Arabidopsis thaliana: one gene and its partners. The protein of the gene in region 1 interacts with the protein of each later gene in a pairwise test. Each region holds a gene or a part of one and is shown in the gene's direction. Other genes may lie near its edges.

Region 1 (6,255 bases):
CAAACTTTGAGAAGGTGAATCATCTTACGCCATGGATAAAGCTTGGAACTTTATAAACCCTAAGTTAAGTTCTCACAAAGAAACCAAAATTTGATTTTGTTTACCAAATCACAATTTTTTTTTTCTTTTTTTTTTTTTCTCTTGTCCTCTGTATATTAGACAGAGCAGCCTTGTAAGCTATAAGCCAATGAAGGATTTTTAGACAAATAATGAAAAAATTATTAATACATTACTTTATGACTTTTCACCATATTGATGATAAACTTAATTGAAATCTAATATTAATTATTTTCCAACACAATTAGTTGAAATGGAAAAAAATGGATTTTGACTATAAAAGTAAGTAGGAATGGGGAATTTTAGAAAAGATTCTCTTCCTAAATTGAAGGGAGAGATATGACTAAGAACATATTCATTTTTTTTTTTTTACTACCAAAATTAGTAGAAAAAAATAAGAAAATAGGTAAATAAATAAAAGAGATGGTTGGCAGATCGTGGAATTTAGTAAATAGTGCGAATCCCAATAATAAAGCATTTGATGCCTTTCTTTCTTCTACCTCACTTTTTTTATTCCAAAAAGTTTTATCAAGTAGACAAGATTTTTTTTTTTTTTTTTTGTTTTCTAATAATGTCAATGTGTGACATCCTCGTTGTCAAAATCTCAAGATATATGAATTTGATTCATATTTTTTCTTTATGTTAATACAAAAATTAATCTTAGCATCTCAATAATTGTGGGATAAACTGATCCGTTCGTACAATACTTTTACAATTATATGCGACTATGAAAATAATTGGACTCATAGTTATGAACCAATAACAGAAGCAAGCATATAAAAATCGATGAAGAGTTTTTTTTTTTTTTTTTGATATTTAAGAAATTATTGATACACTAAATAGATCAAGAAATATATTCATACACCAAAATGATGTTTTGATTTCTGTTTTTTTTTGTCAACATTTATAAGGAGCGAGACTCGATCCTCGATGTCATGTTCTCAGTGGACTTATCATTTGCAACAAGACTACTATCACTTAACAATTTTGATTTCTGTTTACTATCTAAATGCCATCAGCTTTTATAATTTTCATTTTTTTTCACTAGATAAGTTAGGTTTTTTAAAATTTGTTATTAACTCACACTTCAAATCTTATCAAGATTTTACTAAGGTAAAATTGATGTACCGTCGTTTCTTTGTCGTTGCAATTTTCCTCGATTGATGTATGCTCTATTAGTCCAAATTCAATTTTCATTATCCCCAACCCGTATAAGTGAATTAACATAAGCTTCTGGTAAAAAATGCTTATCAAATGAAACATGTTAAAAGTCATGGACACTTAAACATATTATCAGGCCTGACGTTTATATTGGGCCACATGCTATATTTGTAAAAGACTAATTTTATACGCATTTAAGATTTTGCTTAAGAAACGAATAAATTTGGGCTCTAAAATGCTATGAGCCCAATAAACTGCACATTATACTTGCTCCACTAACAGTAATACAGTTTCCTTTTTTTTGGTAGGCTAATCTGAACAGTTTCCTAATAATGCAAATCAATATAATTAATTAAAGATTTGTTTCATTCAAGTTAATTTAACTCCGAACATTATGTTATGAAGAAGAGAAAGACTTTGTTGTTGGACTTGATGCACTCTTTCGCTCATTAAGGTGATCCATACATTTTAATTTCAAAATTGTTGGCAGGAACTAGATTTTGGTTTTACTGATTTACAATGTTATTAACTACAAAAAAAACAAAAAACAAAACAAATAAGTTATCATATCTATCAAGTCTCAACTATTAACTTGTGGCCTTAGCATCTCCAAATTTCTACATTATCCCTGCTTTTGGTTTCTTTAAGACTTTAATCCCAACCTTAATTCACAGTTTTTTTCTCATATATATAGTCCTCATCATGTAAGTAAGTCCTAGCTAATTTTGCTGAAACCACTCTCTCATATTAATTTTTCGTAATATGTTTAGAAATTAGAAAATAAAATAAAATTAGAAGCTATATATAATTAAAGTTTGTTCCACTAAAGAAAATCTCAAAAGTGTAAAATTGTCAGAGATAATTCATCTGTATAACTTTAAAGTAACGGTGTATACTGAGTTATAACACACAACTGACGTACGTTACTAGAACTATGTTCGTGAATAGAAATAAAGATGAGATTCCTTAAAGCTAGATAAAAAATCAACGGCCAAGGTGAAGCATATTTTCATAAACCATGCATGCCTACATGAAACTACTTGCGACAGACACTAAACAATTCGAAACACTTCGTATTTTGGAAAAATAAAAACTATTGATGGGCTACAAGCAGAAAGCATGCATCGCACGTGTCAACAGCATCTGAACACGTTGCTGGATTCTCTTTTTGTTCTTATGCATTCCGATTTGTATATAAACGTGAACGGTGAACTACTTTTTGGACAATTTATACTTTTTTTTTCTCTATCTTTAAACTAGTTTTGTAACAAAATCACCCACTTACACGTACACTATCTACGTAAAGTGGAGTGCAAAACAGTTCATATCCGTGGAGGTCTAGTAATTTATTTCAAGAAGTTCTTAAATTTATTTTTTTGGTCAGGAAATTTAGAATGTTCTTATCACATTATTCTTAAAATGCATTCGTTATGTTATGTGAATGCACTAGCCAAAAATAAATAAATGCAACTACCATCATTGGTTAATATTCATGAAACTTTTTTTTTTTTTCATGAAACTTATATATCTATTAAAAGTTTAAAACCTTATTATACGAAATGTTTGAGAATCTATTATCTGTCACCACCCGTTTGTGACCAGAGAGTAGATTTCTAAAGTGTTTTGGATAAGTTTAGTGTTTTAGAGTATTAAAAAATTTAGAAGCACTTTTCATTAGACTCTATATATGACATATCTATAATAATATTCCTGAATTTGAATTTAGCATCTACTTATATCGCATAACTCATTTATGGTACTGAAATTTAGTGGAAAACAGCTAGTAAAAGAGAAGTATTGGTGTGATAAATAAAGCTCAGAGGCTCAGGATAAGTCAGGATTCCTTAACTCATTTTAGCTAGCCTATCTCTCTCTTTCTCTCTCTCTGTCTCTCCCTATATATAAATCGATAAATAAATGAGTGTGAGGTAATTAAGGAACTAGAAAGGAATAAGAAATTATGGAGAGAATATGTGAAATGTGGAGAGAAATGAAAGATATAACGGCAATGGTGGTGGTTCAAATAGCTACGGCAGGGTTAAACATATTTTTCAAGCTAGCAATGGAAGATGGTATGAACCCAAGTGTACTCGTGGCCTATCGTCTCTTGTTTGCTACACTTTTCATGATTCCTATATGCTTCATCTTTCAAAGGTTGTTTTTCTTTCACATAATATGGTTGTGTTTGTATGCTTTGATATTAATTAACTTCATGTGATCGATTAGGAAGAAGAGGCCAGAGTTTACATGCAGGCTGATGTTACTAGCATTACTCTCAGGGTTACTCGGGTACGTAATAGTCACACACACACACACACACACACACACACAAAACGAAAAATCATTTTTCGTTTTTTTGGATGTCCTCTTGTGTCCTAAGGTTATATATATGTTAACTTTTTTGTGATAAATTTCTCAAAATAAACCATTTTATAATATACGAAATTGAAAAAAATAATCTATATACATGGTTTGAGTGTTACAGAAGTTTAATGCAAGACTATAAAATTTATATATTCCTATATATGTTCAAATTCGATTTCCTATTGGTTTTCAAACATATTAGCCACTGGCTAGGTAAGTCGTCGGATATTTTAGCTTAGGTAGCATGAGTTGAATTTAGTTCTTACCAAAATCTCCTCACCACAAAACCACAATCCAGAGCACACTGGTTTTATAAAACGTAATTAATCTTCTAGAGTTTAATTTTACTTAAATTTACTTTAAAGTTAAAAAACGTATACTTAGTCTGAAAAACTTAAAATGTACCAAAACATAGAGAACTCTAGAAGATTATTTGAACGTATTCAATATTATTATCTAACATTCAAACAGGGTAGTACTTAGTAGTTTTAACCATTCTACTCAATATTACCAACTAGTGGTTTGACAATAAAAACCAACATGTACCAAAAAACATAGAAGACTACGTTTTGGCTGAAAATACTAGTTGATAATATTGATTATCATTAGTAAAATGTAAAATTGTTGAAGAATATATATATATTGGGATTATAAGACTTCTTTAATGTGGTGATAATTGAACAGTGTGGTGATACCAAGTATCCTAACCATTACGGGTCTAGCTCTAACGTCAGCAACATTCACCTCTGCTGCTGGCGTTCTCACTCCATTGGTCACTTTCATCTTCGCTGCACTTCTTAGGCAAGTCTAATCAACGAATCACAATTTAGTTAACCCCTTTTAATATATGTTTATACCATTAAACAAAATATAATAAACTTTTATGGGTCTCATAGGATGGAGAGTGTACGGCTTGGATCGAGCGTAGGGCTGGCTAAGGTTTTTGGAACATTGTTTGGTGTTGGTGGAGCTCTTGTCTTTATATTCTATAGAGGAATAGAGATCCGACTATGGTCAACTCACGTTAACCTAGTGAACCAACCACGTGACTCCTCACGTGATGCTACCACTCACCATATTTCCATCCTTGGGGCTCTTCTAGTTTTTGGGGGAAACATTTCCATCTCACTTTGGTTTTTATTGCAGGCAAGTTTTTTGTTTGTTTTTCAGATTTCTTATTTTTGTGTTTGTTTTGTGTACTAAGGCATTAGGCATGTACGTGTTTTTTTTTGTTTTTGTTTTGTTTATAGGTTAAGATAAGCAAACAATTTGGAGGGCCTTATTGGAACGCGACTCTAATGAACATGATGGGAGGCGTAGTGGCTATGCTTGTCGCTCTTTGCTGGGAACACGATTTAGATGAATGGAGATTAGGATGGAATATCAGACTATTAACCATTGCTTATGCGGTAAATATCAATCCATCCATTATTAAGTATATATATATATGTCTTGTTGTCTAATTACAAATTCATACAAGTCTATACATGTGTGAAGATTCATTTAGGTTGGCCTTGAATATATGTGCTTTATGTTGTCCATTGTAGGCAATTCTGATTTCCGGGATGGTGGTAGCAGTCAACGCATGGTGCATTGAGTCTAGAGGACCGTTATTTGTATCGGTATTTAGCCCTGTAGGACTTGTGATCGTAGCTCTTGTTGGATCATTTTTGCTAGATGAAACACTTCATTTGGGGAGGTACAAACTCATGTATATTGTATTGTTTTGTGGAAATGGATTTGATATACGTATGTATATATAATATGGTTTATTTTTACTTGAAAACATTACAGCATAATTGGTACAGTGATTATCGTTGGAGCATTATACATTGTGCTATGGGCTAAAAACAAGGAAATGAAGAGTATGCTTACGACATCGGATCATAATGAAACAAATAAGACTAGCAAAGATATCACAGTCAACAATCTCCCAACATTAAGTACAAATGTCCCTTGATCAACCATCATTTATATATGTTGAACGACTTGTTGTTAGTATATTTGATTAAGTGAATATTAACATTATTATTCTATCTAACGATGATTTATTGAACCATCTATGTAAGTTATTATGTGCATATGACCTTTGTACTACCACATCCACAACTTCATAAGATGTTGCATGGATTTTTTTTAACGAGCAATAATAAATTGTAAAATCTTATTTGGGTCTAATTAATTTCACTTCTGAGTCATACAATATGTACATGAACTAGTAAGTTGGAATGGGCCCATAATGGGCCGCTCAAATAACTCTCCTCCAAACCTAAAACCCTTTATCGTAATTGATTCTCCAAGCATCCTTTTGAATCTCTGATTCCTACAAGACAAATCACTAAAAGATTCGCAAGTTGACATAGCAGAGACCATACGACACCAACCTAAACACAGAAAAGAATAACTCATTCACTCGTATAGGCTTTGTCTTGCCTCTTCTTGAAAACATGTACACGTATTTAATTATAAATGCATATATAAAGATCCTACCGACGAAAAAATAAAAAGATTGAAAACATGACATCTGCTTATCGTCCAAGAGTTATTGTGAATGGAACAAGAAGAACAAGAACGTTCCATTACTTCTATTGTCGCCATTGTAGCCGTACCATTAGGCTAAGAAGCTTTGGTCTATATGGTCCCATATGTCCTTTCTGTTCTAGAGAGATCAAT
Region 2 (4,703 bases), on another chromosome or scaffold:
CATATCTTATGGATTCGCATGGATGTTGTTATGTTAATGATGCTTGTTAATGGCCCATGAACAAAAATCGAGATTTCTCAACTCCAATTTGGTTGTATTTGTTCTGATCAGCAACTCTGGGATGCATATAATGCTCGTTTCCTTTTGCTCAGCTGCTTGAGTTTATCTCTCATAGTAGCTGGTTTTTGTGTCGATACAAGTATCCTCAGGATCATTCACATGCTCAGATAATTTATCTCCTCTCTACATAAGTACATCAGCATTGATGATATGATCCATATGCTTAAGTGATTGTCTGGAAAACAGTTCATAGGTGATAATACCTTCTTAGCTTCAGTACCAAAACATTCCTGGAAGCATGTTTTATAATCCTGAAGATTACCTTTTGTTTTAGTTTTTCTCCTTAGCTTACTAGTCATTGTTTTGCATTCAGGCCTTTCTGAATTCAGGAAGGGCTTTTACAGCAGTAAATGCGCAGAGTACACAAGTAAGGTTCTATCATATCTTCTGTTGGTACGCTGGCAAGGTTCTTAACTATGAAACATTTTGACAGACAGAGAGAGGTAGAGAGAGAGCAGAGCAGCAGTATATGTGTATAGTATATAGTTTGTAGAATTCCAGAACATATGTGACCTCATACTTGTGAAAAAATGTTGCTGAAACAATTGAGTTTCTATCAATTTCAAGAAATCTTTTTTAGCCTCTTCTGCTTGGAAGATCACACAAGAGAAAATGATTTTTCCCTTTGAATTTACTTTGTATATATTTAGCTCATTGGCGTCAAAGAAATCTATTACATTCAAATATTCAATGAAGAACCAAACATTTTTATCTGTCAAGATCCACCTCTAAAACTATTGAGCTTTCCTCTTATATTAGCTTTTTGTCTTATGCATATCTTCCTTATATCATATTTAGTCTTTGTAGTGTTAGGTTCTGAATTTCGAATCTTTCCTCTTCCCTTATTGAAAAGAGTAAAAGACAAAGAACAAAGTACCAAAAATAATAAAGAATCTTCAAGGAGTTTTTGCCTTGTGCAATTCAACTTCTTCCCATGTTGTTTATGTGTAGTCCAATTAGTGTTATTTTTAATTAAGATGTGGTCCAATTAGCTGTTCTTTTTCTAAACCGTATAACATAATAATACGTGATTCAAATACATTAACATAATGCAAAAATGTAACAGCAAATTCATTAAAAACAAAAAATGTAACAGCAAAGCACCATACTTTCTCTCGTGGGGATTAGAATATACAGCTTTCATTACAAAGACTAGTCAACTAAATCGTACCAGCTAACTGCAAAACATCATCTTAGGAAATAGAAAAAGGTATGTGTAGATCAATCAAAATGAATAAAATGTTTGATTATGAATAAAAATGAATAAGGAAGAGTTCAATGAGATGATGATATTAAATTATGGTAGAAGAAAAGTTAATAACAGGTCAGATATAGAAACTTTCCGTAAAGTCAAGGATTTAAATTATTCACGTGAATACTCTGTCTAGGTCCTATCTTGAAATTTATCATTCAAACCTTTAATATTATCTATATGTTTTTACTTTAAAATTAAATTTTAATATATGTAGATATAAAAATTAATATTTTTAATTTATATATTCTTAATATTTATATCTAGATAGAGTCATATCAAAACATTTTGTTTGAATGCAAATTTCAAAAGATAAATTTTGGAATAAACATTTTCAAAGACGTAAATTAAAAAAGCAATTTAGAAATAAAGCATTGCAAAAATAAATTCAACTAAAATTTAGATGTAGATGTATATTGTGAACCCCCAAAATTAATTATAAAATCTTTTGGAACTGACATGTCAATATTTGTTTGATTGATCAACCTTTTTTCTCCTCCAATCTTCGTTTAGTTCTAATAAAAATATCATAAAGAATTAAAGATTGCAGTTATGAAGATAATGACATTTTTCTTTAATATTTTATTTTTCTTCATTATTTTAAAAACGTTTGGCTCAATTTATAGACAGTGAAGGAAAGTTCTTGGAATTTGGTTCTTCTTCTATACATAAGCTTTGGTTACACAATCAAAATCAAATCGAGAACTGTTGTTGTGTCCGAAAATCAACATCAACATCGTTTCTTTCTTCTGCCATTAAATTTCACCATCTTCCACCTTCAACTGCCCTAGACAGCTATTCTCCACCTTTCTCTTTTCTCTCTCTGTTCTCTATCATTCCCAGAGATAACCAAACAATCTCAGAAGAAACCAGAAAGAGCAAAGAAACTAAAAACTATTATTCATTAAAGTCAGTGTTTTTAAATTCGATTTCGTAATGGGTTCTTCTGCTTCAAAGACCGCTTCTTCCGTTTCTTCTGCTTCTTCCTCATCTGCGTTTTCTCCACCGCCGACCAAATTCAGCTCCGATTCATCTTCACCGGCGGTGCAGAGAGCTTTTTCGTTTCCGACGCCGTTGGTTCACCATCCTCCGGCGAGAAAAGGCGACTCTCATCACCTTGTTTCCCTTACATCTACATCGTACGGTTCTCTTCTCCTCCTTGATCTCGATGGATCCAAAAACTCCTCTTCCGACCAACAAACGCTGCCTCGTATCTCAATCTCCGGGAAGAACACACCAGATCCGGTCTCTCCTGATTCAGTCATAAACACTTGGGAGCTTATGGATGGCTTGGACGATGAATTCGAATTCGAAATTCCCAAACCGGGTAAGCGTCTAAATTCGGATTTTTGCTCTAAACCCGACCCGAATCGGAATGTGAGTTTAAATGGGTCTTCGTTGAAATTGGATGAATCTTACGAGATTGTGAGAATCGAAGAAGACGATGGAGATTGGGTTCCTTTGACTTATAAACCTAAGCAACCTTTGTGGAAGCATTTGTCTGAAGAATCATTTCTCTCTGATTTAGATCCCAGCATTGTCTCATCCTACAAGAAAGCTTTGTCTTCTAAGCTATTAAGCAATCATAGTAATACTAGAAACCCTCATAGACCCACAAAGTCTCTCTCTTGTAGCCCATCATCAAATCCATCCATCTTAATAAGCGAAGAACCAAAATCTGTATCCTCTAGTCAATTGATTTCATCACCAGCCAAACCGAGATTACCAGGAACAGAAGACAAGATTGTACTCTACTTCACAACCCTCAGAGGAATTCGAAAGACATACGAGGATTGTTGTTGCGTTAGAGCGATATTGAGAGGAGTTCAAGTGTCCGTAGACGAACGTGACATCTCTATGGATTCCAAATACAGGAAAGAGCTTCAAAGCGTGCTTGGCGCCGCAGAGAAACCGGTTTGTTTGCCTCAGGTGTTTATCAGAGGAACTCACATTGGTGGCGTGGAGGAGATTATGCAGCTAAATGATGGTGGTGAATTAGCAGAGATGTTGAAAGATTTCCCTGCTTGTGAACGCTTGGGGACATGCCGGAGCTGTGGTGATGCAAGGTTTGTGCCTTGTACTAACTGTGATGGTAGCACCAAAGTGTTTGAAGAACAAGATGAACGGTTTAAGCGGTGTCCTAAATGCAATGAGAATGGATTGGTGCGTTGTCGTGTGTGTTGTCTCTAAGTGATCAGTTTGATCAAAAGATGTGTGTGAGAAAGGGGATATAGATTGATTGACTAAACATGGTATTTGGTTAGTAATGTATATTCAAATAAGTAAGTTGGCTCAAGCCTTTTATTATTTACTCTTATGAGTTGTGTTCTTTTGTTCCATTTACGCTCTTGACCTTTTGAACTAAATGATTCTTACTATATGAAGTACATCAAATGGTAGATGATGATTGATAATTCGCATAATAGCCGAATGATTTGCTTTGTTTGCAAGGTATTTTTTATCAATGAAAAATATGTGCAACATTACCACAAATGTAGTTTGATTGATTGATGTCACCTGCTCGCTCACCTATATTAGCTTTCTTCCTTCTGTTCTTAAATCCTAAAACGACAACGTTTAGTCTCCCTTTAAATCCCATCACTGGACTCGACGACTTTTGCTCAGATAAGGGAGACAAAAATGGAAGTGAAAGGGAAAGAGACAGCTTCGGTTCTGTGTCTGAGCAAATACGTGGATCTATCGAGTGAAGAGAGTCATAGATACTATCTTGCGCGGCGAAATGGCTTGCAGATGCTCCGAGACAGAGGCTACGAAGTCTCCGACGAAGATATCAATCTCTCCCTTCACGATTTTCGAACTGTTTACGGTGAACGTCCCGATGTTGATCGTCTTCGCATCTCCGCTCTGCATCGCTCCGATTCTACCAAAAAGGTATATCGAAGTATTTTCGTATTCGTTGTGATTTTTCGATTTCTAGCTGTTTTTTTGTCTTTGCATGTTGTGGGGTTTACTGTTTGGCAGTGAAGAAGATGATGGAATATGAAATTTGTGACTCTTTTAAATTTCTTATCTTCTAATTGAAGTTTGAATTGCTACTTTTGTGGATTCAGATGACTAAAGTTTACTACTTTATTGTCCTTATCAAGTAGCATACCTCATTTGTTTGTCCTCTGAATTTTTGTAATGTGAAATGTTTCTGGTAACAACTAGCAAAGTGATTCTTAGATCTCTTCCTATGGCTATTGAACATTCGGACAATTCATTGAGTGATCTCTTCAATCTTTAGAGTATGGTCAATGTCAAATGTGCGAGTTCTGATGATAGCTACAAGTTTCCATGTTTAATTCTAGAATGAGATTGAACTGCAAAA
Region 3 (4,757 bases), about 14 Mb from region 1:
CAAATATAGAAGCAATAAAGTTATTCAAAAATAGTTATTTTGCTTTGGAAATAAATCGCTCTCTTGGTCTCAGGAAGTGAGTCGATAGATTGAGGAAAATCTGGTTTAGATAATTGGACCAAAGGGATTTGATTCATTAACCGGAATCTTAAGCCTTGTCAAATTCTGTTCACATATATAAGCAATAAAGTTTTTTTTAAAGTAGTGATTGATTTGGAAATAAATCGCTCTCTCGGTCTCAGAGATTGAGATTCCGATACGGCGGAGCAAAGCAATTTAATAAACCTAGGGTTCAGATTATGACGGCGGCGGAATCAATCGCCGCATCGATTAATCAAATTGATGAGAAGAAACAAAAATTGAAGAAAGCTTTCGATGATCTTCAAGCTCATCGATCTCTCCTTTCACCATCTTTTAACCTCTCATGGTCTGAGATTGACTCTCACTTTTCTTCTCTCCAGTCTTCATTGTTTAACCGCCTCCAATCAGCCGTGACTAGTTCCAATTCCGGTAATATCGAAACTCCCACGGCGGTTACGACGGAGACACCAGTCCTTTGGCCGGAATTGAGAAAGTTTTGTGAGAAGAATGATGGAAAAGGTTTGGGTAACTACATGATTGAGAATTCGAGGAAGCGTTTATCTATCAATGAAGAGCTTCCTAATGCGATTCGATGCTCAGAGAATCCAGCACCTTTGGTTCTAGATGCAATCGAAGGTTCTTACCATTGCTCATCACCATCGTCGTCTTCCTCGGCGAGAGCGATCGATGTGAAGAGGATCTTCGTTTTGTTATTAGAAGCTTTGATTGAGATCAATGCGAATCTCACGAATGATTTGAGAGAAAGAGCTAGGACTATTGCTTATGATTGGAAACCAAATATAGGTAACAAACCATCAGAAGCGTTAGGGTTTTTGCATTTGGTTGCAGCTTTTGAATTAGGGTCTTTATTTAGTACTGAGGAGATTTGTGATTACATTTTCTTGATCTCTAAGTATAAACAAGCAACAACGATCTGCAAGAAGATTGGTTTAGATAGAAATCGAATAGGAGTTCTCGTTCAGAAGTTTTTGGATACTGGGAGATTACTTGTTGCTATTAGATTCATTTACGAGAATGAGATGGTGGGTGAATTTGAACCAGTTTCGATTTTGAAAACTAGTTTGAAGAACTCTAGAGAAGCTGCTAAGAGAGTTTGTGCTGAAGGGAATTACTCTCTTAAGGTGCAGAACGAAGCTACTGATAAAGAACTAAGTGCTTTGAGAGCAGTTATCAAAGTCGTGAAAGAGAAAAACATCGAGTCCGAGTTCATGGAAGAGAAACTCGAAGAATGTGTTAAGGAGTTGGAGGATCAGAAAGCTCAGAGGAAGCGTGCCACTAAGTTCAATTCACCTGCTAATCCCCAACAACCACAAGAACAAAAGGTCGATAATAAGCGTCCTCGAGTTGCTAATGGTTCAAGTATGGAATATAATTTGACAATCCCACCTCTGAGGCCGCAACAACAACCACCACTTTTGCCTACTCCTAGTCAGATTTTACAAGTGAACCCATATGGTCTTTTAAGCTCAATACTTCCTGGTGTTGCTGTCCCATATGGCAACCCAAGGGCTCTATTTGGCTCGGTTCCAGCTCCAGCTTCTCGACCCGTCTTTTATGTGCAGCAAACTGGTTATGGGATGCCACCACCTCAGTACCGCCCACCGTACTATCCTCAGTAGCATCTCTCTATTGGTAAGATTTATTATAGGAATGCAAGCGATATTGAGAAGATTTCTGCTCGAACAGGTCTATGCTCTCTATGTGTTTTTGATGTTCAGTAATGAATATCAAGTAAATTTCGAGAGTTTTGACATAGATAACACTTGATATAGTCGCTGTTTGGGGGATAACATAAGAGCAAATTGATCCGTTTTTTCTTTTTTTGTTTACCTGGTGAAGCGACTATAGAGGATTTTGCCTTGATTGTACAGTTTTATAACCTAACCTTAACCTCTTTTTAATTTAGTTTAGTTTACTTGTGGAGGAATGGTCTTTATGGTTTTGATCTAACATTTATATTCCTTGATTTGTTAGGTAATCTTCCAAGATTTCCTCCCTTTTTTCTTATAATCACCAAAGATCCCTTTTGGTTTGATTTGTTGTAGTGGGAAGAAATCTACGTGTCTGGATATCTAAAATGATCCAAAGGATAATATTCAACTAGCACAGAAACAGAAATAGTTTTTTTTTCATTAAACTATTTAAGTTTACAAAAGGATATGCTTATGGTTTTTCTGATGGAACAGAAAATTAATATTGTCATTTCAATGGAGAAGGAACATGTTCGATGAGCAAAAAAAAGAAAAAACAGAACATGTTCTTTGTTTTACAGTTGTACCCATACTGATCAGAATAAGCCAATCAACGGGGTGTCTGAATCCACGTATACAGTATCTATCTCTAAAAATATTTATTTCCTTTAAAGAAAATATTTAATAGTTATGGCTTATGGGCCTGAGAGGTTTATCATGACGCCCATATATATCTCACGCGTTGTCCTCGTCTTCTCCGTCTTACACTGATTTAATTCTCCTACCAATCTCAACTTCCGACGTCTATTCATCATGGGTTTGAAGGTACGTTCAGATCCAAAATGAACCAAACCGATCTCGGTTTCGGTTTATTACTACTCGGATCTTAGTTTTGTTTGTGTTCACCATTCCTGAATTCTATATTTTCTGTGTTGGTAGCCTTGTTTGATCCAGATTTGCAGATATATAGGTTCCTTATAGTTACGAAATTGAAGCTTGTATAGTCAAGAATGATCACTTTATGGAATTGAATTATTACTGATCACGCTTTTTCTCTGTATGATTTTGTCCATTTACTGTTCTTATAACTGATTTGTTAAACACTGTTTGCTGATGGGTAATATAGTTTTGAATCTGAGCTAGGTTTGGTTTTATTGAGTTTTGTTTGATTATTGTATCCCGATTGAGAATTTTAAGTAGTAATATGTTTGATGGTGTATTAGGCTATTAAGAATCTTTTCTTCGAATTTGTTGTTTCACTGATTTATATATCTGCAGGAGGAATTTGAGGAGCACGCTGAGAAAGTGAATACGCTCACGGAGTTGCCATCCAACGAGGATTTGCTCATTCTCTACGGACTCTACAAGCAAGCCAAGTTTGGGCCTGTGGACACCAGTTAATATTTTTGTCTGAATATTAACATCCTCTATTTTTGCTTCTTAGTTCACTTTTCTGTAATGTTGTTAATAATGTGTATTTGTTTATTGATTGATTCAAAGGTCGTCCTGGAATGTTCAGCATGAAGGAGAGAGCCAAGTGGGATGCTTGGAAGGCTGTTGAAGGTACAAAAACAATTCAAGTGATCAACTTTTTTAGCTTAGTGATTTGTTTGTAATTTGGATTCTTGTCTCAAGTTCAACAATTTTTTGTGCTTGGGGAATTGAATTTGAACTTTTCTTTGTTTATGATGTCAGGGAAATCATCGGAAGAAGCCATGAATGACTATATCACTAAGGTCAAGCAACTCTTGGAAGTTGCTGCTTCCAAGGCTTCAACCTGATGAATCAAATCCTCATCTGCAGTAACTTTATCTTAAGCATCAAAATAACATTGCATAAGACTTGTTCTTGCTCTTGTGTTTCTATCATATTTAAGCTATCTACTTTGTGACATGGTGTGATCTCTTAAAAATGCTTGATATTGGTTAAAACAGAGAATCATGATGCAAACTAAATCCATAAGTTATTTTTGGTCCGTCCTCGATATGGTCTTAGTTAAAACAGTTGAATTCAAGATGATATATTCGTTCTGGTCCGTAGGTCTTTTTCTTCATGGTCCATCGCATTCACCACTCACTAGAAAACTTTCGTTTTATTTCAATTTGGAGTACATAAGACAAAAGCTGGAAAAAAAAAGAACGTGGCAGATTTTTTATTTATTTTTTTCGTCTCGAACATTGGCAGAATTGTTCAAATTGTATGTGGTTTATTTAAAGTCAAATTCGTAAATAAATAGACGTTTAGTTTTAAAGTGTCTACAAATTTGAGGTTTATAATTTGGTAGATGACAAAAACAATAGTTTTTTTATTGAGTTGATCATAATTACTTTTATTTTTTATTGATTGTAGATTAACTTCCTTCCCTTAATGATAATCTCTTAACCGTGATTCAAGAAATTAAATAATATTGTAGAATATTAAAATAATTAATTGTATGTTGAACATACTAATATTTAGTATTATGATAATCTCTTTATCAAAATTATACATCTAGAATTTTTATATTAAATGCATTGTGTTTTTCAATTGAAAATTAAACGATATAAATATATAGTATATGCACTTTAACATAACAAATTCTTTTATATATTTTAATATAAGTGAAATAATTAATCTATATATACATTTTTGTAGGAGGTTTTTGAAGATAATGTTGAAGATGTGAACCATAATTCAACAATTAATTCAAATGGGTGGGTTTTACCCGATTTAACTCTATTCGGATCCTGGATAACATGTTTAATTCTGTTCTGATCTTGGATAACATTAATTTTTGGAAAAGTTACCTAAAAAATAATAATTAAAAACGAAATTAATGATTTAATTACATAATATAAACAATATCTCTAAACTAACCATATTTCTTATTTACCTTAACTAATTTCCTAAAATATTTCTACCTAATTTAAACATAAATATATAATTCTTCTTTCATTTTTATTTGATCTTATACTTTATTTATTT

The links.
Region 2: the proteins of UMAMIT23 (region 1) and AT3G57070 interact in a protein complementation assay, tested with the Arabidopsis thaliana proteins (one large-scale study listed by BioGRID).
Region 3: the proteins of UMAMIT23 (region 1) and ACBP6 interact in a protein complementation assay, tested with the Arabidopsis thaliana proteins (one large-scale study listed by BioGRID).

What each region holds. Positions count from the first base shown.
Region 1 is NC_003070.9:25,548,717-25,554,971, forward strand, and holds UMAMIT23 (nodulin MtN21 /EamA-like transporter family protein), read left to right. Parts: upstream 1-2,773; 5' UTR 2,774-3,178; coding exon 3,179-3,372; intron 3,373-3,444; coding exon 3,445-3,507; intron 3,508-4,266; coding exon 4,267-4,383; intron 4,384-4,478; coding exon 4,479-4,728; intron 4,729-4,832; coding exon 4,833-4,991; intron 4,992-5,129; coding exon 5,130-5,281; intron 5,282-5,376; coding exon 5,377-5,542; 3' UTR 5,543-5,755; downstream 5,756-6,255. Other genes in the region: AT1G68180 (RING/U-box superfamily protein), read left to right, coding at 6,100-6,255.
Region 2 is NC_003074.8:21,121,866-21,126,568, forward strand, and holds AT3G57070 (Glutaredoxin family protein), read left to right. Parts: upstream 1-1,993; 5' UTR 1,994-2,308; coding exon 2,309-3,562; 3' UTR 3,563-3,817; downstream 3,818-4,703. Other genes in the region: AT3G57072 (uncharacterized protein), read right to left, coding at 3,834-3,971; NRPE5 (Eukaryotic rpb5 RNA polymerase subunit family protein), read left to right, coding at 4,013-4,264.
Region 3 is NC_003070.9:11,409,949-11,414,705, reverse strand, and holds ACBP6 (acyl-CoA-binding protein 6), read left to right. Parts: upstream 1-2,472; 5' UTR 2,473-2,606; coding exon 2,607-2,618; intron 2,619-3,071; coding exon 3,072-3,189; intron 3,190-3,293; coding exon 3,294-3,356; intron 3,357-3,488; coding exon 3,489-3,574; 3' UTR 3,575-3,940; downstream 3,941-4,757. Other genes in the region: FRL2 (FRIGIDA like 2), read left to right, coding at 300-1,721. UniProt on the Arabidopsis thaliana protein: Binds medium- and long-chain acyl-CoA esters with very high affinity. May function as an intracellular carrier of acyl-CoA esters. Confers resistance to cold and freezing.